Linked DNA regions of Callithrix jacchus. The protein of the gene in region 1 interacts with the protein of each later gene in a pairwise test. Links are inferred from orthologs where the notes say so. Each region holds a gene or a part of one and is shown in the gene's direction. Other genes may lie near its edges.

The links.
Region 2: the proteins of PRKAB2 (region 1) and CDX4 interact in binary tests that used the Homo sapiens proteins (3 or more experiments, as listed by UniProt). The link is inferred for Callithrix jacchus from reciprocal best matches to the Homo sapiens genes PRKAB2 and CDX4.
Region 3: the proteins of PRKAB2 (region 1) and UBXN11 interact in binary tests that used the Homo sapiens proteins (3 or more experiments, as listed by UniProt). The link is inferred for Callithrix jacchus from reciprocal best matches to the Homo sapiens genes PRKAB2 and UBXN11.
Region 4: the proteins of PRKAB2 (region 1) and melanoma-associated antigen D1 interact in binary tests that used the Homo sapiens proteins (3 or more experiments, as listed by UniProt). The link is inferred for Callithrix jacchus from reciprocal best matches to the Homo sapiens genes PRKAB2 and MAGED1.
Region 5: the proteins of PRKAB2 (region 1) and DAO interact in binary tests that used the Homo sapiens proteins (3 or more experiments, as listed by UniProt). The link is inferred for Callithrix jacchus from reciprocal best matches to the Homo sapiens genes PRKAB2 and DAO.
Region 6: the proteins of PRKAB2 (region 1) and PIAS2 interact in binary tests that used the Homo sapiens proteins (3 or more experiments, as listed by UniProt). The link is inferred for Callithrix jacchus from reciprocal best matches to the Homo sapiens genes PRKAB2 and PIAS2.
Region 7: the proteins of PRKAB2 (region 1) and PYGM interact in binary tests that used the Homo sapiens proteins (3 or more experiments, as listed by UniProt). The link is inferred for Callithrix jacchus from reciprocal best matches to the Homo sapiens genes PRKAB2 and PYGM.

What each region holds. Positions count from the first base shown.
Region 1 is NC_133519.1:7,286,801-7,290,300, reverse strand, and holds part of PRKAB2 (5'-AMP-activated protein kinase subunit beta-2), read left to right. Parts: intron 1-1,589; coding exon 1,590-1,756; intron 1,757-2,560; coding exon 2,561-2,654; intron 2,655-2,885; coding exon 2,886-3,006; intron 3,007-3,500. UniProt on the Homo sapiens protein: Non-catalytic subunit of AMP-activated protein kinase (AMPK), an energy sensor protein kinase that plays a key role in regulating cellular energy metabolism.
Region 2 is NC_133524.1:70,844,604-70,848,894, forward strand, and holds the start of CDX4 (homeobox protein CDX-4), read left to right. Parts: upstream 1-1,491; 5' UTR 1,492-1,687; coding exon 1,688-2,189; intron 2,190-4,291.
Region 3 is NC_133508.1:62,948,664-62,952,633, reverse strand, and holds the start of UBXN11 (UBX domain-containing protein 11), read left to right. Parts: upstream 1-1,170; 5' UTR 1,171-1,202; coding exon 1,203-1,276; exon of another isoform or gene 1,277-1,616; intron 1,617-3,970. UniProt on the Homo sapiens protein: May be involved in the reorganization of actin cytoskeleton mediated by RND1, RND2 and RND3. Promotes RHOA activation mediated by GNA12 and GNA13.
Region 4 is NC_133524.1:52,170,999-52,174,498, forward strand, and holds part of melanoma-associated antigen D1, read left to right. Parts: intron 1-312; 5' UTR 313-348; coding exon 349-393; intron 394-1,092; coding exon 1,093-1,800; intron 1,801-2,447; coding exon 2,448-3,116; intron 3,117-3,245; coding exon 3,246-3,309; intron 3,310-3,500. UniProt on the Homo sapiens protein: Involved in the apoptotic response after nerve growth factor (NGF) binding in neuronal cells. Inhibits cell cycle progression, and facilitates NGFR-mediated apoptosis. May act as a regulator of the function of DLX family members.
Region 5 is NC_133510.1:111,779,859-111,783,358, forward strand, and holds part of DAO (D-amino-acid oxidase), read left to right. Parts: intron 1-239; coding exon 240-390; intron 391-1,873; coding exon 1,874-1,950; intron 1,951-2,895; coding exon 2,896-2,961; intron 2,962-3,500. UniProt on the Homo sapiens protein: Catalyzes the oxidative deamination of D-amino acids with broad substrate specificity. Required to catabolize D-amino acids synthesized endogenously, of gastrointestinal bacterial origin or obtained from the diet, and to use these as nutrients.
Region 6 is NC_133514.1:90,007,396-90,011,604, reverse strand, and holds the start of PIAS2 (E3 SUMO-protein ligase PIAS2), read left to right. Parts: upstream 1-1,409; 5' UTR 1,410-1,578; coding exon 1,579-1,602; intron 1,603-1,841; exon of another isoform or gene 1,842-2,045; intron 2,046-4,209. UniProt on the Homo sapiens protein: Functions as an E3-type small ubiquitin-like modifier (SUMO) ligase, stabilizing the interaction between UBE2I and the substrate, and as a SUMO-tethering factor.
Region 7 is NC_133511.1:121,823,622-121,827,121, reverse strand, and holds part of PYGM (glycogen phosphorylase, muscle form), read left to right. Parts: intron 1-949; coding exon 950-1,061; intron 1,062-1,148; coding exon 1,149-1,231; intron 1,232-1,706; coding exon 1,707-1,850; intron 1,851-2,194; coding exon 2,195-2,287; intron 2,288-2,513; coding exon 2,514-2,660; intron 2,661-2,855; coding exon 2,856-3,019; intron 3,020-3,371; coding exon 3,372-3,486; intron 3,487-3,500. UniProt on the Homo sapiens protein: Allosteric enzyme that catalyzes the rate-limiting step in glycogen catabolism, the phosphorolytic cleavage of glycogen to produce glucose-1-phosphate, and plays a central role in maintaining cellular and organismal glucose homeostasis.

The sequences.
Region 1 (3,500 bases):
TTTTACTTTATTTTAACATAATTACAGTATTATCTAGGAAGCTTTTTAAAAATAGATTCCCAGATCTTATATCTGAATCAGAATCTTAGGGTTATTCTTAGGCATATGTAAAATTCTTGCAATTCTAACACAGTCAGTCATGCAAGAGTACATTGTTCTGAGAATATGTAGTTTTCTCTTAAGTCAGTTCCTTATATAATGTGAAAGTCCTTTCAATTCTCTTTCTCTGTTTACTTTGGATTATCCTGCTACTGATGTCTCGTACTGTAGTTTTGGGGAATATCACGAGAATGTATGGAGGGGAAACTATGTCAACCATTTTGAAAAGAAGGCCCAAATGAATAAGCCAGTCCTTTTTGGGGGGGGGGGAAGCCCACATTATTCTATTTGGTAATATTTAGGCTTAATAATCTACAGTCTCATTTACCAGAGTCACTTAAACCAATCTGAAACAGGGGTCAGCAAACTTTCTGTGAAGGGCCAGGTAGTAACTATTTTAGACATTGTAGACCATGCAGTCTCTGTTACAGCTGTGCAATTCTGCCACTGTAGCTTGTAAGTAGCTATAAGTAATACAGGTAAACAAGGCAGGGATGGTGGCTCGCACCTCTGGTCTCAGTTTCTTGGGAACATGGCTTGAGCCCAGGAGTTCAAGGCTGCAGTGAGCTATGATCACACCACTCACTGCATTCTAGCCTGGGTGACAGAGCAAGGCCGTTTCTCAATAAATAAATAATAGGTAGACAAATAAGTGGAGCTGTTTTCAAATAAAACTTGATAAAAGCATCTGGCTCACTGGCTGTCTGCCAACTCTTGGTCCAAAGGATGATAATGAAAAGAAACAGGAGATGTTTTTTTTTGCAATCCCACATACCTCATTTGGTAAGATTACTACTCTTGATAAAGGAAACTGTATTTTCGATCTCTTGCTCCTTGAGGTTCTAGAATTTTTGTTCCTACTCCTGAAATAATTAGTATAAACCTAGCACAGGGGAGCAAGTAAGATTTCATAGCTACTTCTCAAGTTTTAAGAAATCAGTGATCCGGTTTTTGAGTTTTTACTGTTTCTTCTTTTTGTAACTTATTAGCAGAAATAGCGTTTATGAATTATGAATTTTGATGTCTCTAACTTCCATTACAGCTGGTAATTGAGAGCTATTCATATTTGCCTATAAAAATATATATTATTTTTTAATAGAACCATACTTTGTTTTTATATGTTTTTTTCTCTTAAAGACTCAGAAGTGTATAATAATTGCCTGCTTATGAGTTAAACTAGTGGTAGGGAATAGTTTTTTCTTGCTTTTTTTTGAAGGAGAGTCTAAGGCGCGGAAAGGGTGGATGATGCAGGTAGACTCAAAAGTCAGGCTATGATTTAGGAGGTACTTAAGCATAGGCCATTTGACCATTTTTGGTCCTAAATGAGTTTTTTTTTTCTATAATTTGTTCAAACTCAGATTTAGTTGCTGATTGTGGGGTTTATATCCTTAGCTAAAGCCTAGCATCCTTCTCTACCCTAGGGAGGAGAGTGACCTTTTAGAATTCTTGGGTCACAGTTTATTCTAGGGATGACCTACTCCTTCTTACAGCTCCCTGGGGACAAAGAGTTTGTATCCTGGCAGCAGGATTTGGAGGACTCCGTAAAGCCCACACAGCAGGCCCGGCCCACTGTTATCCGCTGGTCTGAAGGAGGCAAGGAGGTCTTCATCTCTGGGTCCTTCAACAATTGGAGCACCAAGATTCCACTGATTAAGAGGTGAAGACAAGTGTCTTGGTTGAATCTAAGGGTCCAGGAATAGTGACCTAATTTCTTTTCTCAGAAGAGAAACGCCACTGGACTACTTTTCCCCACTGCTAAGGACTCTCTCTAGAACATGCCCTTTCTGTGGCCACTTAGTATATCTGTGGGATTTTTTTAAACTTCATAGTGAGTCAGAGATGTTTTACCCCTTCGAATATGATTGCCTCAGAGGGATTCATAATAGCTTTGTGGCTCCATTCATTAGGGCTGTGCTTGTGGGAAGTCTTCTGTAACTGGCTGAGGCTTGTTGCCCTGACTTCTGCACTAAAGCAAAACACATTTTGAAGTTCTAGCTAGTCATGTTATTTGTTGCTCCCACAGCAATAATGAATGGTCTAACTGGTTGTCAGAATGGCCCATTGTATGGTAGGTCATTTTCCAGAAAAGGTTCACGGAAATAGAGAAAGGATACCTTGAGGCACTGTGTCCTGAACCTACCTATCTTCTTTGCACTGGCTAGGAGCTTGTTCTGCTGAAGCAACGTAGTTATGCTAGGGTGCACCATTCCAGAGGATTCATGCTTTTATTATTCTTTTCCAGATACTGGTTAAGAACTAACGTTGTTGGGAGGAGCTGGTAAATACACGTCCAAGATGATACAAAAGAGGAGAATGGGTTTATACATTGTTTTTCACACCAGGGGATACAGTGGCTTAGGAATCTGGGAGATCCTTCATGTGATACTGTGATTGCCACTTGTTTTTTATATTTGGTCTTCTGAAAGGAACTCGGCCTGTTTGCTTTTCTTTTTCTTCATAGCCATAATGACTTTGTTGCCATCCTGGACCTCCCTGAGGGAGAACACCAATACAAGTTCTTTGTGGATGGACAGTGGGTTCATGATCCATCAGAGGTAAGGCCTTGATCTCCAAGGGTAACCACTGACTTAGCAGCCCCATTTTAGCTGTCACTTCTGTCAAGACTGATGGGCAGCTGCTCCCCTACACTGGAGGATTTCTCTCTTGATAAAATATGGAGGTGCTGAGTCTAATCACATGTAAATTTTAGGATAAAAGAGGAAGGTTGGATGGAAAAGATGGATTTGAAAGAGAGATTCAGTATTTTTTTCTTTTCCCTGTTTCAGCCTGTGGTTACCAGTCAGCTCGGCACAATTAACAATTTGATCCATGTCAAGAAATCGGATTTTGAGGTGTTCGATGCTTTAAAGCTAGACTCTATGGAAAGTTCTGAGGCATCTTGTAGAGGTAATTTTGTAGTATTTACTCTTTTTTTGCTGTGTCTTTCTTGCACCTTCCCAAAAGTTGTTTCTGTATGTATATATATATAGAAAGAGAGAGACAGAGAAAGAAGAAGAGAGTGAGCCAGGGTGGGGCGGGGGGTGAAGGGGAGAGGGGGAAAGAGACATTGAGATTTCTCTTGTAAGCTTAGGTCTCTTCTTTGCTGCAGACACCCACACACACGCACATGCTAACAAAAGTCTCATGGTGTAATGTTTACCGTATCACATGTGATACACTCCATTTGCTACATTATCTTTTTTTTTTTTGAGACGGAGTTTCGCTCTTGTTACCCAGGATGGAATGCAATGGTGCGATCTCGGCTCACCGCAACCTCCGCCTCCTGGGTTCAGCCAGTTCTCCTGCCTCAGCCTCCTGAGTAGCTGGGATTACAGGCACGCACCACCATGCCCAGCTAACTTTTTGTATTTTTAATAGAAATGGGGTTTCACCATGGTGAC
Region 2 (4,291 bases), on another chromosome or scaffold:
TTTACTTAAATGTCAATTCTCTGTGAAGTTCTCCTAGACTATCACATTTAAAACTGCAACATCCATCTCCCAGCATTCTGTATATTCCTTCCCTGCCTTTTTCTCCGTAGAGTTAATTATTGTCTGATATACCATAAAATTTAATTACTTATCAGTGTTTCTCCCCACTATTACATATGCTTAATAAAGCCAGAGGTTTTATCTGTTCACCACTGATGTCTCCAAACATAGAACAGCACCTAGTACTAAACAAATATTTGTTGAGTGAATACAGTGGTCCCATACTGTGTGCCAAGCACTAAGTTAAGCAATTTGCTTGCATTATCTGAGGAAATCCTGCTTGTAAGGTAGATACCATTTTCCTTTTAAAAATAGGTAGGTTCTCTATTTTTAAAAGGATAAAACTGTGAAACTCAGAGAGGTTAAGTGACTTTCCCAAAGCTATAGAAGGATTAGCTAAATGGGGTTGGGAGTGCCAGGTTATGTTGGATTTTGTGTAGGAGCACATTTCCTGAATAAGGAGCAGCCTGGAGTAAAGGCTGTGGTAGGTATTGGGGGCACTGGGTGGAGAGGAGGAACACAACGGGTGACCTGGTTTCTTGGGGCGAGATACTGATTTCATTGGCATAAATATTTGGAGTTTTACAAAGAAAACATTTTAAGTCTGCTGCAGCTGCCATGGATTTGAGACTGCAAGAGTTCTGGCCCCTTGAGGCACCGGATTTCAGACAGAAGCCATATCTAGCAGAAAGAGACATCTGAGAGTAGTGGATTGACATGAAAATAGGAGTTTATTATCTACATGGTTCTTCTCTCTCTCTCCCCTACCATTTTTCATAACCTACCTTCATCTTTCTTTAATTCGTGCATATTTGTAAAACATTCTATTAACTCAGCCTGCCATCCACTACAGTGCAATCTTAGGAAGGCTGAGTAAGAATTTTTGTCTTTTATTCACTGCTGTATCCCTGTGCCTACACAGTACCAGGCACACAGTAGACACTTAACAGATATTTGTGAAATTAATCTTTGCCCTCGGAAACAAAGGCCTCCTCTTGATGGAGGGAGTAAGGAGAGTAAAGGAAAGTCCTTCTCATTGGCATCCTGGGCCTGTGCCATGTGGTAAACCTCTGCGAGGGAATTTGGGCAGAAGGAGGCTGCAGATGCATGTTGGAAGCAGGAAGATCGGTGAAAGGGAGGAGGCCGCAGTGTAAGGACTGAATTCCAGAGAGCGGAACTTTGCCCGGCTTCTTCAGGTCTCTATCTGACTTTGAGGGGAGCTGATCAGAAACCGCTGGAGGAGTGTTCCTGTCCCCAAAAGCATAATATTGATGCTATGGGAACAAGATGGACAGAATCAAGAAAGATGAGACAGAAAGGCCTGGGAGCTTGGGGAGAGGGTGAACAAGTTGCTGTGAAAGTTCGAAATGGCCCTTCATTTGAATGCAAATGCTATGTAAAAGCCTGAAGCCCCTTGACGTCAGCCCAGCTATTGGTGGCCTATCTATACAGGGCTACCAGTCACCTGGAAACGTAGGATGGAGTAGTCTGAGAGGTCAGAGGAGCTTGCGGCACGACTACATATTGATAAATTTATTATCTGCTTCTTCTTTATTATCTCAAAATCGAGTTGAGGCCTTACAGGGACCTCAGGATGGTTTAGGGAGCGCCTTCTACGCAAGCCACGATGTATGGAAGCTGCCCTTTGGAGAAAGAAGCAGGCATGTACCCGGGTACTCTCAGGAGCCCTGGGGGCAGCGGCACAGCTGAGGCAGGCGGCATGGGGGACGGTGGGAGTCTAATGCCAGCCTCCAATTTCCCTGCGGCATCGGCTTTCTCACACTACATGGGGTATCCTCATATGTCCAGCATAGATCCTCATGGGTCAACTCTGGGAGCCTGGGGCTCACCCTACAGTACCCCGCGAGAAGACTGGAGCGTGTATCCTGGGCCGTCTAGTACAATGGGAACAGTGCCGGTGAACGACCTGACCTCGAGCCCAACCGCTTTCTGCTCTCCCGACTACAGCAATTTGGCCCCTTCGGGCGGGGGAACTAGCTGCAGCAGTCTACCAGGCTCGGCTGGCGGGTCACTTGCACCCACAGACGCAGGCGCCACCAACGCCAGTTCCCCCAGCAGGAGCCACCACAGCCCCTATGCATGGATGCGCAAGACAGTGCAGGTGACGGGTGAGTAATCAATTGCAATGCCCATACACTTTTCCTTCCTTCCCTTCGCTATTTTGCTTGCTCGGCCTGCCATCCTGCTTCTCAGGCCTCTCCTAAGAGAGCTTAGCTGAAGAGAACCCTATGTGGCTGGCTGGCCTATTAGGTATCGCTCGTGTGTTCGCCTGGGCTCAAAACTCACTTATGGAGTGCAGCGAGTGCTTTTCGCCTTTCGCTGCTCCATGAAGAAAGCGAGTGAGTGGACAATGGGTATGTTGGGCCACAAGGATCGGGATCCAACCCTGTAGTTGCCCACATGGGAAAACAGATGCATGGGAAAGCTCAACAGGTGAATGAAGCCAGAGGACAGCTTGATGGTTCCACTTCCAAACCCTTACCTATCTGGGCGGGCTGTCTTCCCCCTCCCCTCCCTTAAAGCTGGTGATGCTCAATATAGGTTCACAGTGCTTGGCTGGCAACAGACCCTCCAGTTTAGCCACGAAGTCCCCGATGGCAAAGCAGCCTCGTCACCCTGGTCTCTCAGGGAAGTTCCAGCTTCTTTCCTACAAATTGGCAGAGGCAAATTGGCCTCAAATCCATTGCCAGCTTACAACGTCCTTTCTTCTAACCCAAGTGTTGAGGCAGGTGAGAAGGCTACAACACTGACCTGGCACATAATACGGTACCTAACCCTCACACCCGCCGGACACGCAAACGAATCAGCTCTAGCACTAATGAAAGGCTAAAGCCCTCATAACTATCCAGGCGGGCGTCTTTTAGGCGTAGGGGCTGAATGCAAGTCTGCGGCAGCGCGCGGGAAGGCACAACTATCGTGATCGCAGCCTAACCAATAAACCAGACTGCTGGGAGCCGGGAGCCAGGGCGGGGGAAGTGGTCCTTTGCTTTTATCTTAGACCCGGGCGGAGGGAGGAATGTTTGTTTTCAGCTGTCGTTCTTTTATCACATTCCTATTATTCCAATCCTCGCTCTCTGTGTTTAGAGAAAATTAGTAAAATTCGACTCTAGTACTTTCATCCCTCTGGGGAGGAAATGGCATTTCAATAGCATTTGTCCACAATGATTATGCTTCTGTTCTCGGTTCTGCACTTTTTGTTTCCTCCAAAAAGCAAAAGCAGGAGGGTGGGAAGTTACCAATTTTTACCATTAGGAGAACTTTTAGCAAGGAAAAGGAAGTTCTGTGTATTAGAACATCACTAGAGTAGCAATCCCAAGGTAAAAGCAGAGTTCAAATACTTGGCTTTAAAGCATTTGCAAGAGTAAATCCGCGTTTTTTAAAAACTATGAGTGAGTCTGTGACTAAGTAGGATAGAAAAAGATGTTAGGGTGGGGCACTCCCAGAGTTTTTATTGCATCTCATCTCGGGGTTGTAATTAACATCCACTCACTAAACCCTAACAATCATCAAAAGACATAAAAGCTAGAAAAGTAGTTTCTGGCAGTCTAGGATTATGTTTTGAAACACATCAAGAGGAAAGTTACTGGCATGGAGTTTGCAAGAGAGAACAAGAGAGTAAATGGATGAGATAAAAGAGATTACCTCTTGAATTTTCTGTTTATGTGGGAAAATATAACAGTTTTATCTGCTTAAAGATCTTCCATTTACATTTGCTTTTATTAGCCTGAGTCTCTCTCTTGGGTAATCCTAATGCCAGAAAATGTTTTGAAAGAAGCTCCTTAGTCTCTTGCATCTTCATCGTTAGTTAAACCCTCAAACCTGACTTTACAATGCCCCTTCACAAGATTTTCTCTCCAATTTCTATGAGAAGTTTAAAATGGACTGATATTGGAACCTTTTCGATTCTTGGCAGTCTATTCTGTAAATAAGGCTTCATTAAATTAAAACTTTGTTTACTTTTAATGTCTTATAAGTGTAAATTAGCCCTTTTGCTCTATTCTTATAGTCTAAGGTGCATATTTAGCAACAAATTAAGAATATAATGAAAAACTTTGGTTATCTCCCTAGAAAAATGCACCGACCTGGCACATAATAGGATACCTAACCCTCACACCCACCGGGCACGCAAACGAGTCAGTTCCAGCACTAATAAAAGGCTAAAGCCCTCATAACTATCTAGGCAGGCGTCTCTCAAGCATAGGGGCTGAAT
Region 3 (3,970 bases), on another chromosome or scaffold:
GAAACCCCATCTCTACCAAAAAGCACACAAAAACTAGCTGGGCGTGGTTGCTCGAGCTTGTAGTCCCAGCTACACTGGCGGCTGCGGTGGGAGGATGGCTTGAGCCAGAGAGGCAGAGGTTGCAGTGAGCAGAGCCTGCCCTTCCCTGAATGTGTGGTAGGTTAGAAAGTCAAATGGAAAATAAATTACTTAAGAAAAAAAAAAAAAGGCACTCTGTGTTGTGCAGAGAAAGGGGCTTTTGAATATGGGCACAAGGAAGTGAGTGCCTGAGATCAGGAATCATCAACTCCCAGACCATCACAGCTGAAAGGGAGGAGAGATGATGATGATGATGATGATGAACAGCAGGAAACGTTTTTGAGAAAGTGCTGTGTACAAGTGTTTTTGTTTGTTTCGGCTTTCCCCTTTAAAATCATGTACTTTGCATTCTCTTATTTAATCCTTATAGCAATCCAGTGGGGGTGGGTATTAGCACTATTTTACAGATATAAAAACTAAGGTGTATAAAGTGTCCAAGAACACATAGTCAGGAGCCAGGACTCCCAGTTCCAAAGTTCGTGCTCTTAACTGCCTTTAGCTGCTGTGGTGACTGAGTCTAATCCAGTACAATTTTACAGGTGAGGCTCAGGGAGGGGAAATTGTCTTACCCAATTCTTAAAAAAAAAAAAAAAAAAGACTAGAATTTGTGCAAATCCGGGCGCAAATCTGGTCAAGGAATTATCACAGAAACTCAGATTTAAGAAACATTTATTAGATCCTTCCTTCCTTCAAAAAAAAAAGCAACAACAATAACAAAAAACAGTTATTAAGTACTTGCATCACTGCAATCCATCCTGAAAGCGAAGTACTGTAATACTGAACATGGGGAAACAGGCTAAGAGGGATAATTCCCCCCAAGATCAATTTAGCAAAATAGCTGCACTGCCGGGCTCACACATTCAGGTCCAGAGGCTTCCAGCAGTTTCATTAACCTAATCCCAGGTTCCTTCCTCCCGCACCTGTGGGTCTGAACCAACAACCCCTCCCCCCCCGCCATTTCCCTGGACTTGGAGCACGCTCAGAGCGGTGCATTCTGGGATTCGTGGTATCCCACGAAGAATGCCGACTCTGTGGGCCAATAGAATCCGAGTATAGACGACTGTATCCACCTCTGAGGTCTGCTGGTTGCTCAGGCCTCCCTCAAACTAGCCAATGAGAAGTGCATGGGTCCTGGTCGCCTAGGAAACCGCGTGACAACAAGATGGCGGCACCGCTGGACGGCTAGCGGTCCTGCGTGGTGAGTCTGGCCCAAGACCTTTCTGCTCCTGGAGTCTCCACGCAGGCTGGAGCCCAATCCCCGAGAGCCCCGAGGGCCCGCGAGCTCCGCGGCTCCCACAGGAGAGATTCGAGACCCTGCTTACCAAGACTACGCTTGGAGGCGGGAGTAGGCGACACGGCTGCCAGGGCTGGGTTAGGTTGTGATAGACGTCGCTCCCTGGGCGCGTCCTTGGGGGCATTAGGGAGTGACTGCTGGCAGCAGGTCGAACTGTGTCCCCGCCACAGCGCTGGGCCCTGGGGGTGACGGACAGGCCGAGGAGGTGTGAAGAAGGATGTTGTAAGTCAAGCACAGCACTGAGGTCGGTCCCAAAGATGTGGAGGCATGGTACACAGCTTTGCTCTTAGAGCCGGATCTGAAGTGGGTGACAAACCTACCTTAAGGAGCTTTCGGCCTGAGAGGAAGCCATAGTCCTGCCCTTGGAAGCCCCAAAGTGAAAGAGGTAGACATGTCCTCAGGGCTCCCCATTCTGAAGGAGAAAGAGACACAGCCCTGCCCTCAGGAGTCCCCCCAAACGGGTGGGGAAATGCAGCCTTTGCCCGCAGTGTCCCCCGTAATCAGGGAGAAGATTAACCTGGAGGCAGTGTCTGATTGGACTGGAGTGACACTGGAAGTAGGAAAGTCAGTTGAGGGCCATGTGACAGCCCCTAGAATGGGCAGTGAGAGTCCTACTAGGATGGCCGACAGTGGGCATGGAAAGGGGCAGCTGTGTGTGAGAGAGTTTAACCTGCAGGGTGTGGTGTAAGAGGGAAGGAAGGAGAGAAAAATGTTCTGGTTGGGTGACGGGGTACCATCAAGAAGGGAGAAGTGGGAGAAAGTGAGTTTGAGGAAAGATGTTGGGTTTGGTTTAGGAATTTTTTTCCCCTATGGCAGCTTTATTGAGATATAATTCACCTACTATATACTTCACTCCTTTACAATGTAAATTTCAATCGTTTTTGGTATATTGCAGTATATATTCCGTTTATATGAAATGTGCAGAATGGGCAAGTCTATAGAACAGAAAGTAGATTTGTGGTTGCCTAAGGATGGCTGGGAAAGAGGGTGAGGGCTAGAGGGTAAGTGGGAGGTGACTGCTAAAGGATACAGGGTCTTTAAGACTGATGAAAATGTTCTCAAATTCTGGTGATAGTAGTACAGCTCTGTGAATATACTAAAAACTTAAATTTACACCATAAGAGGGTGAAATATGTGAATTATATCTCAAATGAAAAAGTTTGTATACTGTATAATTCCTTTTATATAACTTTTTTCAAGTAAGAAAATTATGGAGATGGAAAATAGCATTCTGGTTGCCAGTGGTTAGGGCTGGGGGAGGGGTGCAGGATGGGTGTGACTGTAAAGAGGGCCACAAGGGAGATCTTGGTGGGTCTAGAATAGTTCTGTATCTTGATTGCAGTGGTAGTTACCCATGTGACTTGACCTATGTGATTTAATCTGCCCATGCGATCAAACAGCATAGACCTGTACATACAAACTGTATAAAAAATGTCAGTGTCTACGGCCATACCACCCTGAACGCACTTGATCTTGTCTAAAAAATGTCAGTTCCTGATTTTGATATTGCACTGTAGTTATAAAATGTAACTACTGAGGAGAGCTGGGTGAAGAATACAAAGATCTTTCCTAATTTCCTGTGAATCTATAATAATTTTCAAATAAAAAGCTAAAATATAAGTGAAAAACAAACTGAAGGGGGGAAAAAAAGAGTTAGCTGGCCAAGGGAAGGGTGCAGGTAGGAGTGGGGAGTTGAGGCAGTGGGGACACATGTGCATTTGAGGCATTGCCAGCAGTTCAGGTGGCTCAAGTGTGGGAGGTGGCAAGATGGGAGATGAGCCTGGGCAGCACAGTGAGACTCGTTTCCAAAACCTCCCTAGTAGAGGTCCTTTAGTTCTAGATATTAGTGACTTAATCTGCTTCATTTACTGAATAGAGTAGTAGCCTTCAGTGATGTCCCTCAAGTGCACTCTTTCCAGAAGGAAGAGGGAAGGAAAGGAAACTTAACATTTATGAGTGCCTTTTATGTGCCAGCAATGGCAAAAACTCAGAGCAGCCCCAGCTCACATTTTTCAGTGCTTTCTTTGAGCTTGGTGCTGGGCTGGACGTTCTCTGTTCTCTCTGAATCTGCTCAGAACCCTGCCTGCGTCTGTACTATTACTACACTATTTTACACTAAAAGAAACTGAAGATGGATTGCTCCAGTGAGTGGCAGAACTTGGTGTCCTAATCTTGGTGTGAATCCTGCCTGTGGGTTGCCCTCTCTGGCTCTGAGATGTTGGGAGTGGCACATGGTTTCTGGTGGGAAGGAAGGAGACACTTGGGCTTTGTGCCACCCAGCTCACAGATGGATGGACAGCCTCCTGGGTAGTAGTGTTCCCAGGCTGTAAGTTTGAGGAAGTCCCAGGCTTCTGACTCATTTCTGCATCCCATCCCATCCCATCCCATCCCATCCTCACTGCCCTTTCCCAAGCACCATCAGACCAAAGGTCTCTCAGGTCAGAGTGGAGAGCCGTATTCCCAGAAGAGCAGTCAGATAACAGAAACTTCCGGAAACCTCTGTCGGGGCAGTGGAAGAGGCAAAGGGTACTTTTGCCTACACAGTGCTTCCCATTAGGAAGAAGAGCCAGGGAAGAGGCAACTTCAGGCTACTCCCTG
Region 4 (3,500 bases), on another chromosome or scaffold:
GTACTGTTAGATCATTCCTCCGGACTCAAAACCTCCATGCAACTTCCCATATGCGAATCCCAATCCAACCGCCCCCCTCCCCCGAATTCAAAACTCATCTGCTTCCCGAACCCGGATTTGAAGCTTTGCCCTGTCATTAGCTTCTCGGGGTTTAAAACCTCCATCTGGACGCCCATTCACTTTTCCCGCTCCGGTCCATACCTCCTCACATTCACCTTATCCGCCCGCACAATCAGACCACAGTCACCCCCCTCCCAATTAGGTCCTTCGTATTTGCCCTCTGTAGTGTAACGCCCTGCCCCTCTCCCACAGCCCCCAGGCTCCGCTCTTGCCAGAGGGACAGGAGCCATGGCTCAGAAAATGGACTGTGGTGCGGGCCTCCTCGGCTTCCAGGTGAGATCTCCGCTCCCCACCCCACCATTTCCCCAGCCGACAGTCACCCCTCCCCGCGGGCCTCTTTGGTCTCGCAAACGCCGGGATCTGGTTTGGCCCTCTTTAGTGACTAGACTCCGTGGTCTTTTCGAATTCCCATCGTTTATCGAAGGGGGGAGGGGCGTCTCTTTTCAGCCATCAGTCCCTGCTCAGAGAGAGGGGAGACCCTGTTAGTAGTTAGGGCAGTCTGCCCAGAGAATGCGGGGTGGGTAAGGAACCATTTTTTTTCCACAGTCCTGACGCTTGTTGAGCAGTCTGTCACCCCCTCCCCCTAGCCTCCTGCCTCCACCCTCCCTCCCTCTGCATTCCCCACTCTGTGCGACCCCCCTTATTCTCAACCCCGCGATCCGCCTCCCCTCCTGAGCTGCTACTGCACGCCTCTTTACAGCGTCCCCTGCTCCCATTCGTGCCCACTCTCCGCACACAGCCCCACCCCTCATTTTTCCCCTACTCTACTTCACCCCTGCCACACGTTTTGCACCTGCCCCGCCCCCCTTAGCCCCTCGCGGTCCCCCTAGATCTCTGCCTCAACCCTCCTGTTTTTGTACCCACCGACCGCCTGCAGCTCCCCTGCTGCGCTGCCAGCCGGCCTCCCTATTCCCACCCCACCTCCTGCATCAGAGGCCCAGAGGTTTAATTTCTTCCCCCCTGTGTTTGCAGGCTGAGGCCTCCGTAGAAGACAGCGCCTTGCTTATGCAGACCTTGATGGAGGCCATCCAGATCTCAGAGGCTCCACCTACTAACCAGGCCACCACAGCTGCTAGTCCCCAGAGTTCACAGCCCCCAACTGCCAATGAGATGGCTGACATTCAGGTTTCAGCAGCCGCAGCTAGGCCTAAGTCAGCCTTTAACGTCCAGAATGCCACCACAAAAGGCCCAAATGGTGTCTATGATTTCTCTCAGGCTCATAATGCTAAGGAGGTGCCCAACACGCAGCCCAAGGCAGCCTTTAAGTCCCAAAATGCCACCCCAAAGGGCCCAAATGCTGCCTATGATTTTTCCCAGGCAGCAGCCACTGGTGAGTTAGCTGCTAACAAGTCTGAGATGGCTTTTAAGGCCCAGAATGCCACTACTAAAGTGGGCCCAACTGCCACCTACAATTTCTCTCAGTCTCTCAATGCCAATAACATGGCCAACAACAGGCCTAAGACCCCCTTCAAGGCTTGGAATGATACCACTAAGGCCCCAACAGCTGATACCCAGACCCAGAATGTAAATCAGGCCAAAATGGCCACTTCCCACGCTGACATAGAGACCGATCCAGTTATCTCTGAACCTGACGGTGCGACTGCACAGACATCAGCAGATGGTTCCCAGGCTCAGAATCTGGAATCCCGGACAATAATTCGGGGCAAGAGGACCCGCAAGGTGAGATCCCTGCTAGCTTCAATTTGCTTTGGGGTTCTCTCCTTTCTTCTCTGAGGGTATTCATTTGTCCTGAACAAAACAATGTATGTAACTGTATTCAGCTAGGCTGTAGGGCATTTGAAGAGAATGTTTATTCCTGTCCTACAGGTGTTCACAAACTGATCAGAGATAATATATGGACACAAATAATATATACAACTTGTATGTAATTCAGTTTACATTTTGTTAGTATCCACCATGTGTTAAGCCTTGAGCTAAGCACATTCCCACAGGTTGTCTCATTAAATCTTAAAGGCACCTCCTACCAGCTCGGGATCATAGTCCCAATTTTACAGAGAAGGAAACTTAAGTGCCAAGAGGTGAAGTGACTTGAGTGATTTGTTCAGGGTGGTACAGGCAGAGCCAGTGGTGGACATAGGAAGAGGAGAAGCCTCAGGCCCCATCTTTGGGTTGCTCCTGGCCTGGTTCAGAGATGAAACTCCTGCCTGGAAGACAGTGAAAGACAAGCCCAGGACTCAGGGTGACCAATGGCTAGTGGGTCAGGCTGTCACTACAGGTGAGGGTTTAGAGGGCTTTCCTGGAATAGATAAGGTGAGGACAGAGAACCTACTGGTGATTCTGAACTTTTCTTCTCTCTGATGGTGCAGATTAATAACTTGAATGTTGAAGAGAACGGCAGTGGGGATCAGAGGTGGGCTCCACTGGCTGCAGGGACCTGGAGGTCTGCACCAGTTCCAGTGACTACTCAGAACCCACCTGGCGCACCCCCCAATGTGCTCTGGCAGACCCCATTGGCTTGGCAGAACCCCTCAGGCTGGCAAAACCAGACAGCCAGACAGACCCCACCAGCACGTCAGAGCCCCCCAGCTAGGCAGACCCCACCAGCCTGGCAGAACCCAGTTGCTTGGCAGAACCCAGTCATCTGGCCAAACCCAGTAATCTGGCAGAACCCGGTGATCTGGCCAAACCCCATTGTCTGGCCCGGCCCTGTTGTCTGGCCGAATCCACTGGCCTGGCAGAATCCACCTGGATGGCAGACCCCACCTGGTTGGCAGACCCCACCGGGCTGGCAGGGCCCTCCAGACTGGCAAGGTCCTCCTGACTGGCCGCTACCACCTGACTGGCCACTGCCACCTGATTGGCCACTTCCCACTGACTGGCCGCTACCACCTGACTGGATCCCTGCTGACTGGCCAATTCCACCTGACTGGCAGAACCTGCGCCCCTCACCTAACCTGCGCCCTTCCCCCAACTCGCGTGCCTCACAGAACCTGGGTGCTGCACAACCCCGAGATGTGGCCCTTCTTCAAGAAAGAGTAAGAGCTGTAACTCTCCAGTCACTTCTCCCCTCTCTTGCTCTTTTCTTTGTCATCCTCTCATCTATAATTCAACGAGTTTTTTTGTAAGGACCTTATAAGTTTAATGATTTCCTTTTTCCCTCCCAGGCAAATAAGTTGGTCAAGTACTTGATGCTTAAGGACTACACAAAGGTGCCCATCAAGCGCTCGGGTAGGCATCCAGTGTCCCCTCCCTGAGCTCTGCCCTTCCTTTCACCCCATGCTCTACGGGCATTCTTAGGCTTGTATGACCGTTCCCTTTCTATCCCCTCCTTTCCGTGGTTGGTTCTTTCCACCCTTGAGGACCTTGGCTGTGCTACCCCCAGCAGGGTTGGCAAAGGGACTGCTGCTCTGTGCCCGCCA
Region 5 (3,500 bases), on another chromosome or scaffold:
GTCAGGTAATCCCATGCTGGAGGTGTAGTCCAAATGGTTATGATGGGGCAGCCTTCATTCCCTCTCTTCTTTATCCTATTAATGGAGAAATATTAGAAAAATTGGGAGGGAGAAGACCCAAGGCATTTGGGGAGCTGTAAGAGTGAACACGGTGGATTTCCAGGTTTTGGATACACCCCAAGCTCCTGATCATGCCACAGCCCCATGCCAGCTGACTTAAGGTTTTTTGCCCATCTCAGGGCATTGGGTGACCGAACTCTCTGTGACCCTTCCAGAGACTGGAACCAACAGACCTTTGACTATCTCCTGCGCCACGTCCATTCTCCCAACGCTGAAAAAATGGGCCTGTTCCTAATCTCGGGCTACAACCTCTTCCATAAAGCCATCCCGGTGGGTGAGCAGTTCCGGACCACGCAGGATGAGCACACAGGGCTGGGATGGCGAGGGTGGGTGCAGCGCAGCCTTAATCACAGATGAGGGCGGGGTGCTTTGGGTCTTGTAGGCAACAGACTCCTGGGTTCAAAACAGGTTTGATTTAAATTCTATTTTTACTTTGACAAATTGTCTTTGTTTCAAATTTTGCTGTTAAATTGGCAGAGGACAAAGAATCTTCTGGTGTCCGTGGAAAGCAGCCTGTGATTAGCATGGTTGAAATGCACACATGTTCTGCAGCGCGGGCACTGGCTGCTGAAGCCAAAAGCTTTCATGTGCCCCTGAAGGTCCCAGGACTTTTTATCAAGATGTAATAAAATACTCATCATAGCAAAAACTGCCAAAGCATTTATTATGTGCCAGGCCCAATCCTAACTAATTGACAGCTAGCGACTCATTTAATTCTCTCAATAACAGGGAGATAAGTCCTGTCCTTAGCCTCACTTAATAGATGAGAAAACAGAGGCTCCAAGAAATGGCATAACTTGCCCAAGGCCACAGAGTTTGCCAGTGGCAGAGCTGGGATTTGAACCCAGGCGATCTGTGACCACATGGTGCCCAATGTGCTAACAGGAACATCACAGCCCTGGGAGGCTTTGCTCAGGCTGCTTGGAGAGAGGGTAGTCTGGCTCTGTGCCCAGAGCCCCGTGCCAGCTCTCAAGGTTCATTCAACCTTTAGCACTGCACTAAGGGCTTTATCCATATTATCTTCTTTAACTTTCAGAGGACCAAGAGATTTTTTTTTTTTGAGACAAGGTCTCACTGTGCTGCCCAGGCTGGAGTGTAATGGTGCAATCTCGGCTCACTGCAACTTCCGCCTCCCAGGTTCAAGTGATTCTCCTGCCTCAGCCTCCCAAGTAGCTGGGATTACAGGCATGCACCACCATGCCCAGCTAATTTTTTGTATTTTTAGTAGATACCGGGTTTCACCATGTTGGCCAGAATGGTCTTGATCCCTTGACCTCGTTATCCACCTCCCTCAGCCTCCCAAAGTGCTGGGATTACAAGTGTGCACCACTGTGCCTGCCTAATTTTTGTATTTTTAATAGAGAGGGGCCAGGCTCGTGTTAAACTCCTAACTTCAAATGATCTGCCTGCCTTGGCCTCCCAAAGTGCTGGGATTATAGGTGCAAGCCACTGTGCCTGGCCAAGAGTGATAATAATCATGATACAGGCAAGAAAACTGAGTCTACCTCAGCCTCCTGAGTATCTGGGATTACAGGTATGCACCACCCGTCTTGCTAATTTTTTTTTTTTTTTTTAACTAGAGATGGTGTTTCACCGTGTTGGCCAGGCTGGACTGGAGCTCCTGACCTCAGGTGATCCACCTGTTTCAGGTTCCCAGAGTGCTGGGATTAACAGGTGTGAGCCACTGCATCTGGCCCGTTATCATTATTATTGACTTCCATCCCTCCTGGCACCCCGTTCTCTTTCCTCTTAGGATCCTTCCTGGAAGGATACAATTCTAGGATTTCGGAAGCTGACCCCCAGAGAGCTGGATATATTTCCAGATTACAGGTGAGTTTATTGTCACAGGCAAAGGGGGCTGGAGCCCCACAATTTAGACAGACCTGTCCAGAGGCAGCAGAGGATAGAGGCACCAGATTTCCTGTCCCACCCAGGCCCTGGTACCTTGGTCTCCTGGTCCTTGGTCCAGCTCCTTCAGAGAGGCTATCCACTCAAATTGGTCTTTGGGCTGGGAGAATAGAGGGTATGAAATCACAGATCTCAAGCCCAGAAGCTCCATATCACCATCTTGTTTTGTAGATGAAGATACTGAGTTTAAAGAGGCTAAGTGATGGCCAGGTGCGGTGGCTCACACCTGTAATCCCAGCACTTTGGGAGGCCAAGGCAGATGGCTCATGAGATCAGGAGATCTAGACCATCCTGGCCAACATGGTGAAACCCCATGTCTACAAAAATACAAAAATTAGCTGGGTGTGGTTGTGCGTGCCTATAATCCCAGCTACTCAGGAGGCTGAGTCAGGAGGATCACTTGAATCAGGGAGTCAGAGATGGTGCCACTGCACTCCAGCCTGGTGACAGAGTGAGACTATCTCAAAAAAAAAAAAAAAAAAAAAAAGAGGCTAAGTGACTTGCTAAGATCAAACAGCCAAGTGGCCAAACTGGGATTCCAACCCAGTCTGTATGACCCCACATCCCTCCTTTCTTTTCTTTACAGCCTGATGCCTCTCTGGTCTTCTCCTCACCATGCCTGAATCCCCTCTAAAATGCACATCCAATCTCCCTTTGCATTCTCCAATGCCAGGGGTGGCCTTGTCTGATAGAAAAATTGTCCTTGCATTGAGCTCAAAATCACTTCCCCCCTTGAACTTCAGCTTGTGGTCCTGGCATTACCCTTTGGGCCCACAGAACAACACTGCTCCCACCTCCATTTCACAGCCTTCAAATAGAGCTCTGATTTTTACCTTTATTTCCACCTTTTGCCTGCTGTGACTCTAGCTATGGCTGGTTCCACACAAGCCTAATTCTGGAGGGAAAGAACTATCTACAGTGGCTGAATGAAAGGTGAGATTTTAAGCTTCACTTTGAGGGAGGCACCTCTCAGAGACCAAGCTGTAGTAGAAGATGGTTCATGGGAATCCCCCTGCGTGGACCAATCCCAAGGTTTGAAGAAAACCCTTAGGCCTGGTGTGGGAGCTGTCCTTGGTCCTGGTCACCACTGGGTACAGAGAAAGTGGTTCCTGAGCCTAGCTGGGCATCAGAACCACCTGGGCAGCTGTTCACACATGATGTCTATTAACAACCTCTTTCAGATCCCTAATGTTTGTGTAATGGTTTTAAATGTATTCTTTTAAGATTTCCAGATATGTTTACATCATCTGCAAAATATAAGCTGCCTTTTATTTTTATCTCCTCTCTTTTTTTTTCTTTTCTAACTGCTTTGGCCAATACCTCTACAACAATGTTACTCATACAGATGATAGCGGATGTCCTCGCCTTGTTTCTAATGTTAATAGGAATCTTGTCCTGTTCTAAATTAGTGAACACTCACTTGAGAGATACATTGGTATTTACAGTCATATACAGTCATATTAAGGGAGATT
Region 6 (4,209 bases), on another chromosome or scaffold:
ATGTAATAAGGAGAAAAGATATATTTAATAGAATTCTCTGGTAGAAGAGTTCAGCATGTGGCTGGAAGCGTACTTTGATATGTGGCCTTTTGTGGGTGGTAAGATGACTGCACCTCCCTTCTTCCCCACTCCCCTCTAAGGGTATATCACATTACCACATTATAAAGAAGTTGGATTCAAGTAAGTGCAGGGACTTCTTCTTGATGAGGATATATAAATCTAGACCAGAACAAAATGATCACAATAGTGAAGAGAGACATGCCCTTTCTACCCTTTAACACTCAGCCATTCCTTTGAACAGACATTGAATGATTATTAGGGAGTATATAGCATAGAAAAGACGCCAAATTAATAATCTGATCTGGTGAGACAAAGTAGCACCCTATTTCAGAATTCTTTCCGTTGTAAAAAACAAAAAGAAGCTCTCTCTCAAAAAACAAAATCAAAAAACTTGCGGGGTGCGGGGGCAGGGGAATGGAGGGAAGGACTTATGGAAGATCTGAAGTGCAGTACGGATGAAACGAGGGCTCGTGGGAAGAGGCAGTAGGTAGGAAGCTGATTAAACAGTCTTAAAAGTTACATTAAGTGTTTTAAAGTCTTTTTGTGGGTGAGTTCTACCCAATTCTTCAAGGAAATTGAACCCTGGACTCTGTCCGGCGATTTTTCTGACCATCTTGACTCAGCATCTTCCCTCATTGTTTATCAGCACGTTAGGGGGGCCATCAAGCTTCCTTCTGTCTACTTGCTCTGCCTTGGCGTTTCACTTCTTCCTAGAGATCAGATTTCCCTGACTTTTTAGCATGGCCCTCTGAGCGCTGTTATTTCACTTTTCCCCCCTCCCCCGCCCCCCAACTCTCCCAATTCTGCAGTCCGTGACCTTCAGGTGCCCTTCAAAGTCAGGAAAAACTCGGCAAGGTGGGTACTTGTAGGGCATTAGTAATTCAAAGAGGTGTCAAACAACCTCACCATTAGATGGGAACAATAGCTTACTTAACACCCATATTTAGATTGTTCCGCCACAACAACTCTGGGGAACGGTTTTATTTGCGGCGGTTTTCTCCATCCACAGCCACCGAGTGAAGGGCAGCGTAAGAATCTTCCCGAATGCTCCAGTCACGCGTCCCGGCCGCCTCTTCTTCCTCGCCGCCACTTCCCCAGGCCAGGCCCGCGGATAACCCCTTAGTCGCGAGCGAGCTCTAGCCAGTCGGCAGGGACCTAGCCGGGGAGGGAAGGCTAGACGCGGAGCTGAGCGGGGCCAGGCCGCGGGGCTGCAGGCCGGGGGGTGGGGGGGGGCGCCGTTGGGCGCCGTCGCCGAGCGGACGGAAGGCGCGGGCGGAAGGCGGTCGCACTAGTAGGCAGGGGGGCACCGCTGGGGCGGGGCTTCGGCGCGTCGGGGGCGGGGCCCCCGTGCCGGTCACGTGACGGCCCCGGCTGTAGCGGCGGCGGCCGCGGCGTCTTAAGCGGCGCCCAGTGCAGGATGGTGCTGGAGGCTGAGTCGGCCGTGGTGGCGGCGGCGTCGTTGGCGGCAGTGGGAGTGGGTGCGGCGGCAGCGGCGGCGGCGCCCGCGGGTGGTATAAAATGGCGGATTTCGAAGAGTTGAGGGTAAGCGGGGGCGCGGGAGTGGAGAGCGGAGGCCGCGGGGGAGGGGATGGGAGGGGAGGTGGGGAAGCCGCCAAGTCGCCGGCCGCCGCCTGCTCCTGCCTCAGGGGCCGGTTAGCGGAGCCCGGAGTCCCGGCCCGCTGACGAACGGGCTCCTAGCGCGCGGGGGAGGGGAGCGGGCCGGCTGAGGGCGCGCGGGCGGCGCGGGGGCGGCGGGCCTGGGCCGCTGCGAGCCGGCCCCTGAGTGCTGCCGGCGGTCCGCACACCTGGCGCTGGGGGCCGGGGCGCCCTCCGGGAGGGGCACGTGGGGTCCCGACATCCCTGTTCGCGGTGAGGGCCGAGGTGGAAAGCAGCGTTTGATCTCCCACCTTCGCTGGGGTGTACGTGTCTGTGGCGATTCACAAGTCTGCACGCTACTCACTTGGTGAAGGACTGTTTTCTGAAAGGTGAAGTTGCTTTAGGAATCTCTCCTCCTCTTGTGGCTGATGCTACGTTTAGTCAGGTCTGTCACGAGAAAAGGCCCCTTCCTCCCACCCATGCCTCCTAACAGCTTCGAGAGAATCCTGCCTTCTATTATCGGCCTTAAACCTCGATATTTTTTAGTGCTTTAGTAAGAAATCTGTAAAGTCCATGTTGTGAGGTTTGTGCACCCCTTTTACTCTTGAGGAAAAAAATTTTTTTTTCTTAGTAGCCTTGAAACAAGATCATAACTTTATTGTTGATACCTTTGTATAGTAGAGGTTTGGAATAGGGGGTAGAACAGAAGAGACTTTTTTATCCCCAGACTCATAACCTTCAAAGTCTTTGACTAAAAACTAAGTGTGACGAACGAGCCGGGTTTATTTTGTATGTATCACTGAATTACTGGCGACATCAATGAGATGTTTACGGACGGAAACCGTGATTTTTTAAAAAAGGCATTTTAAGGTAGAGACGAGTGTGAACTTGAAATTAAATTTACTGCCATCCGTTTGTGTAACACTTATGGTGTTAGAGTGTCTTAAATAAGGAGGAGGAATCCGATAAAAGGTTCAGTTTGTATGTTTATTATTGTTTTCCTTGAAGGACGGGATGGGGGAAGGATATTGAAGTTACCTGCTTGGTAGACGAGCAAAAGAACGTATGTTCTGCTCTTAACGGAGATTGTTAGAGTTTGCAGAGTGCTTGCCTTATTCCCTCCTGCTGTTTCAAAAATAATTATTTAGTTCCCGGTAAAGACATATACTAGTTTATGCAGAGAACCATGGTCGTAGGTGAAGGGTGTTCATACTTGGTAAGTGTAAGGGTTTCAGTGGCTCAGAGCCCCAGCTGTAGAGCTTTTAACACCTGTGGAGCTTTTGAAACCAGGAGGCCTAAGCTTCACCTTTGTAAATTCCTGCGCTAGATTTAGGATGGGTTGAGAGGATGAATTCTGAAGTTATATTTATTTTTACCTGCAATCTAGTTTTAATTTTTGTGTAGTAACAGATGCATACAAGTTTTCTAAGGTGTTTTTTTTTTTTTTTTTTTAATGAAAACTTTCCAGGATTTATATTAGACTCTTGGGAATGTTGTTGATCAAAGCTTAATGTAAAGCGGAGAATTTACTCGCTGTTACAGCAGAAAAAGCAGTCAGTGCTCAGGTTGGAGTGCAACTGGCAAGTGGTAGAAACCAAAGAAGCTCTTTTTCTCATTCTTTCTGCCTTCCCCTCTCTCTGTTTTGTTTTGTGGATCAGCTTCAACATCTCTTCCTGTAAATCAGCTAGCTGTCTTTACTTTTTGCATTTGTTAGAAGATGACCCCTCCCCCACAATTCATATGAAGTGCCCAACAAAGACTAACTGGGGAGAATTTTTAGAGGAGAGAAGGGTACAGGCTGGGCACAAGTAGTAAGCATTATCCACTTTTCTACTTAACTGCTCTGTGCAGATCCATGTTACCCTACACTTGATGAACAAACGGTAATGATGATGATGGTATATACCCATTTTCATAGTGGTTATTCCATGCCTGGTTCTGGTCTAAGCCTTTTTTTCTATACTTATTTAATTCTCACAATTTTTTGAAGAAATTGAAGCACGGAGAGGCTAACCTGACCTAAATTACACAGCTTGAGACTTGAAAAGCTGAGATTTTTAATCTTAGACATGTAGCATTAGAGTCTTTGCTTTTCAAAGCCCAGGCTACACTGCTTTGTTCTGGTACCTTGGGGTCTAGGTGGAACTCCTAGCCATCATCCTGCGATTGATCCTGAATTAACTGATCATCTCCTGTGTGACATTATAATAGAGGAAGAAAAACAGACTAAAAAACTGATTAGAAAGAAAGAAAAGGGGAAGAAATCATCTTGGATTCTCAAAATGTTAGGTAAATTATAGGACCAGGAAAAATTATGGGCATTAGTTTGTTGGCTAACTTCTTGGCAGTAGAGGAAATGGTCAGCCGATCTGGATGCCACATATTTGGCTGCTGATATGCCACAGGGAGAATTTCCATAATGCTTCAGGGCCAGTTATTTTGGACAAGTATAACCAGAGCAGTTCACATCCTGGCTAGTGCTGCATCTAGACTGAAGGTAGGGAATTTTGTGAAAGGTCATCCTCAGTGTGGTTTGGTGACCCTTGTGCCTTT
Region 7 (3,500 bases), on another chromosome or scaffold:
GAGATCACCTCACTCTACTCCAGCCTGGGCAACAGAGTGAGGCTCCATCTCAAAAACAAACAAACACACACCAAATCCCAGTTCAGGCAATCTTCCTGCTGAAGCTTCGGGTCATCAGCCCCCAGAGGGGCTGCAGATAAACCAGTAGGCTTTCAGAACTGAGCATTTGCTGTTAGCCAGGCTAAGGCCCAGTAGGGGCTGTTGGCAGTCCATGCCAGGTGCATGTTGCAGCTGGCACAAGTGGCTGTGGCTGGAAGGCAGGAGACCTGGCTCCCTCTGGTGCTGCCAGCCTGCTGTGTGCTCAGGGACCAGCCCCTTCCCTCTCTGTGTGTCAGCTCCCACTCTGCTCCAATCAAGGTGACTGAGTGTGGGGAGGGAAGGCGATGCCCCTTAAGAGGGCTCCCTTGGAGGAGTGGACAGAACCCTGGCACCGTGATAGCAGTTACTGATGTTTGCTAGTTATGGAAGGCGGGTCAGCATTAGGCACTGGGAATTAGCCATGTGGTCAACCAGGCCTCAGGTCTTTGGATGGACTTGACCTCTGTGACCCCTTCAGCCTGGCCCTGGGTTCCCCAGTCCTCTCCTGAGTCCAGTGTCCTCTAGTTTTTGCTCAGGCCAGGCTGGCCAGCCCGGCCCCCATTGCTGCAGAGTGGTCACCAACAGAGCCCCTCCTGGGCTCCGGGCTTGTCATCCGCCTCCTTCCATTCTCCTCGCCGCCGTCTGCCAAGCAGGGCTTACTGGTGTTGGGGAAGTGCTGAGGGTGTTTTCCCTGTAGATGAGGTCCAGAGAGGCTATGGGGTTTGCTCATGGTTACGCAACTAGTCGATGCTAGCATTGGGACAAGAGCCGGGGTCTGCAGAGTGCAGGGACAAAGCCTTGAGTGCCAGCCCTGAGGGGAGGGAGGCAGATGCCAGGGCCAGGCAGCTCCTGACAGGATTGCCCCCCGCAGGTGGTACTGGCCATGCCCTATGATACACCGGTGCCTGGCTATCGCAACAATGTCGTCAACACCATGCGCCTCTGGTCTGCCAAGGCTCCCAATGACTTCAACCTCAAGGACTGTGAGTTCATCCGCTGGTAGCAGCCCCAGCCTGCCCACCAGCCCTGCCCTGCCCAGGCCTTACCCTCTCCCCACTCTCGTCTCTCAGTCAACGTCGGTGGCTACATCCAGGCTGTGCTGGACCGGAACCTGGCGGAGAACATCTCTCGTGTCCTATACCCCAACGATAATGTGCGTCAGTCTCTGGGTGGTGTGGGGTGCTGAAAGCCTGAGTCCTGGGAGCAGGGGTTAGGAAGAACTGGGGAGAGACACTTGCTGGTGCCCTACTCACACCCAGGGCATACTGCTGGCCTTGTGCATCCTGTGCCCCCATCTTAAGCCTTTTGAGCACAAGGACACCTGAGTCCTGAGGGAAGTGGGTTAGCCAAGGGCACTTTGGAGGAGCTGTCCCAAGGCGACACCCACGATACTCTCGGTTCTTGTGCCCTCTTCCTGACACTGTCTCTTGCCACTACTTCTTGGTAGAGGAAAATTCCCTGGGACCCAGAAAGGGGTCTTGGCTCAGGGCTCAGGGCTCAGGGCTCAGGGCTCAGGGCTCAGGGCTCAGGGGTCCTGGTATGGGTGGGAGTCCCCTCTGGCCACACCCACCGCAGCTTTAGGCCACGCCCCTGCCACCTTGACTCACGCTGCCTCGCGCTGTTCCCAGTTCTTTGAGGGGAAGGAGCTGCGGCTGAAGCAGGAGTATTTCGTGGTAGCCGCCACCCTCCAGGACATCATCCGTCGCTTCAAGTCCTCCAAGTTCGGCTGCCGCGATCCCGTGCGCACGAACTTTGATGCCTTTCCGGACAAGGTACTATGCGCGTAGAGGGCGCCTCTGTGCCGGACAGTGTGTGCCGGGCCTCTCCCTCCAGCCTCAGTCGGACTGCCCCATGTAATAGATAAAGGATTGGAGGCTGGGAGGGTGGGAGGGTCATTTGCTCAGGTCAATCCACAGGCTCATAACCTCGGCTTCCCTCCTCCTGCCCGGCTCCCCCTACCCCATTCCTCCCACCCCCATGAGCACCTGCTTGCTCTGCCCTCAGCCCAGTCACAGAACCGTGCTGGGCTCTCTGGGGGGCTCCGAAGTGGCAAAGGACAGTGACCATAGCATGGTATGTGGTTTGGAGCTCAGACTGACTTCTCTGCCTATCCCAGGTGGCCATTCAGCTCAATGACACCCACCCCTCCCTGGCCATCCCCGAACTGATGAGGATCCTGGTGGACCTGGAGCGGCTGGATTGGGACAAGGTGGGCTTCAGGACCCCTCTGCCTCATTTGACACTCTCCACTTCAGCGTTCCCTTCCCAGTTTGGGGACATGGGAGGATATGAGTGGAGTGAACAGACTGGAGCTTGAGGCCAGAGGGACGGTCCTAAACCTGGCACTGTGGTGGGGGGGCCTGCTGGGCTGCATAGGGTGTGGGGAGAGCCACTAGGCTGAGGTCGGTGTCCTGACTGCCCACCCCGTGTGCCAGGCGTGGGATGTGACAGTGAGGACGTGTGCCTACACCAACCATACGGTGCTGCCCGAGGCCCTGGAGCGCTGGCCGGTGCACCTCTTGGAGACGCTGCTACCACGGCACCTCCAGATCATCTACGAGATCAACCAGCGCTTCCTCAACGTAAGTTGGGAGGCTTGGGGACGATGCGGGGACGAGGGGGGACACCCAGTCTGGGCCTGGGAGTAGGGGTGCCCAGCCAGGGCCCTGAGACTATGGGGCAGTGAGGGCTCTGGGCAGAGCTCTGGGGGTGTGGGGCTGGGGACTGGGGACTGGGGTTCCTGGATCTGGTCCTAGCTCTGGGCTCTCTGGGCACAGCGGGTGGCGGCCACATTTCCAGGGGACATAGACCGGCTGCGGCGCATGTCGCTGGTGGAGGAGGGCGCGGTGAAGCGCATCAACATGGCACACCTGTGCATCGCGGGTTCACATGCTGTCAATGGCGTGGCGCGCATCCACTCGGAGATCCTCAAGAAGACCATGTGAGCCCTGCTCTCCAGACCCCGCCCGTCTCTAAGCCCCACCTAATCCACGCCTCTGTCTAACAGAGACCCCGCCCCTCACTGCCCTGCCTGACCACTCATGGTCTCTAGCCCTTCATGGTCTCTGGCCCCGGGCGGCATTCACAGGTGGCGTCATTCTTACAAGCACGGCAGCCCCTACCAGTGCCGCCCTGTCCTGGGATGCCCCCTCTTACACACAGCATCCCCCACCTTCCCCAGGTCCACATTCCCCACCCCAGGCCCCTTTCAGCAAGACAGGGTAGGGGCCCCAGGGCAGAGGCTTTCATCCTACAGGGGTGAGTAGCGACCCTTGTCCAACCTCATCCTGCAGCTTCAAAGACTTCTATGAGTTGGAGCCTCATAAGTTCCAGAATAAGACCAATGGCATCACCCCTCGGCGCTGGCTGGTTCTGTGTAACCCTGGGCTGGCAGAGGTCATTGCTGAGGTGAGAGGGCATTG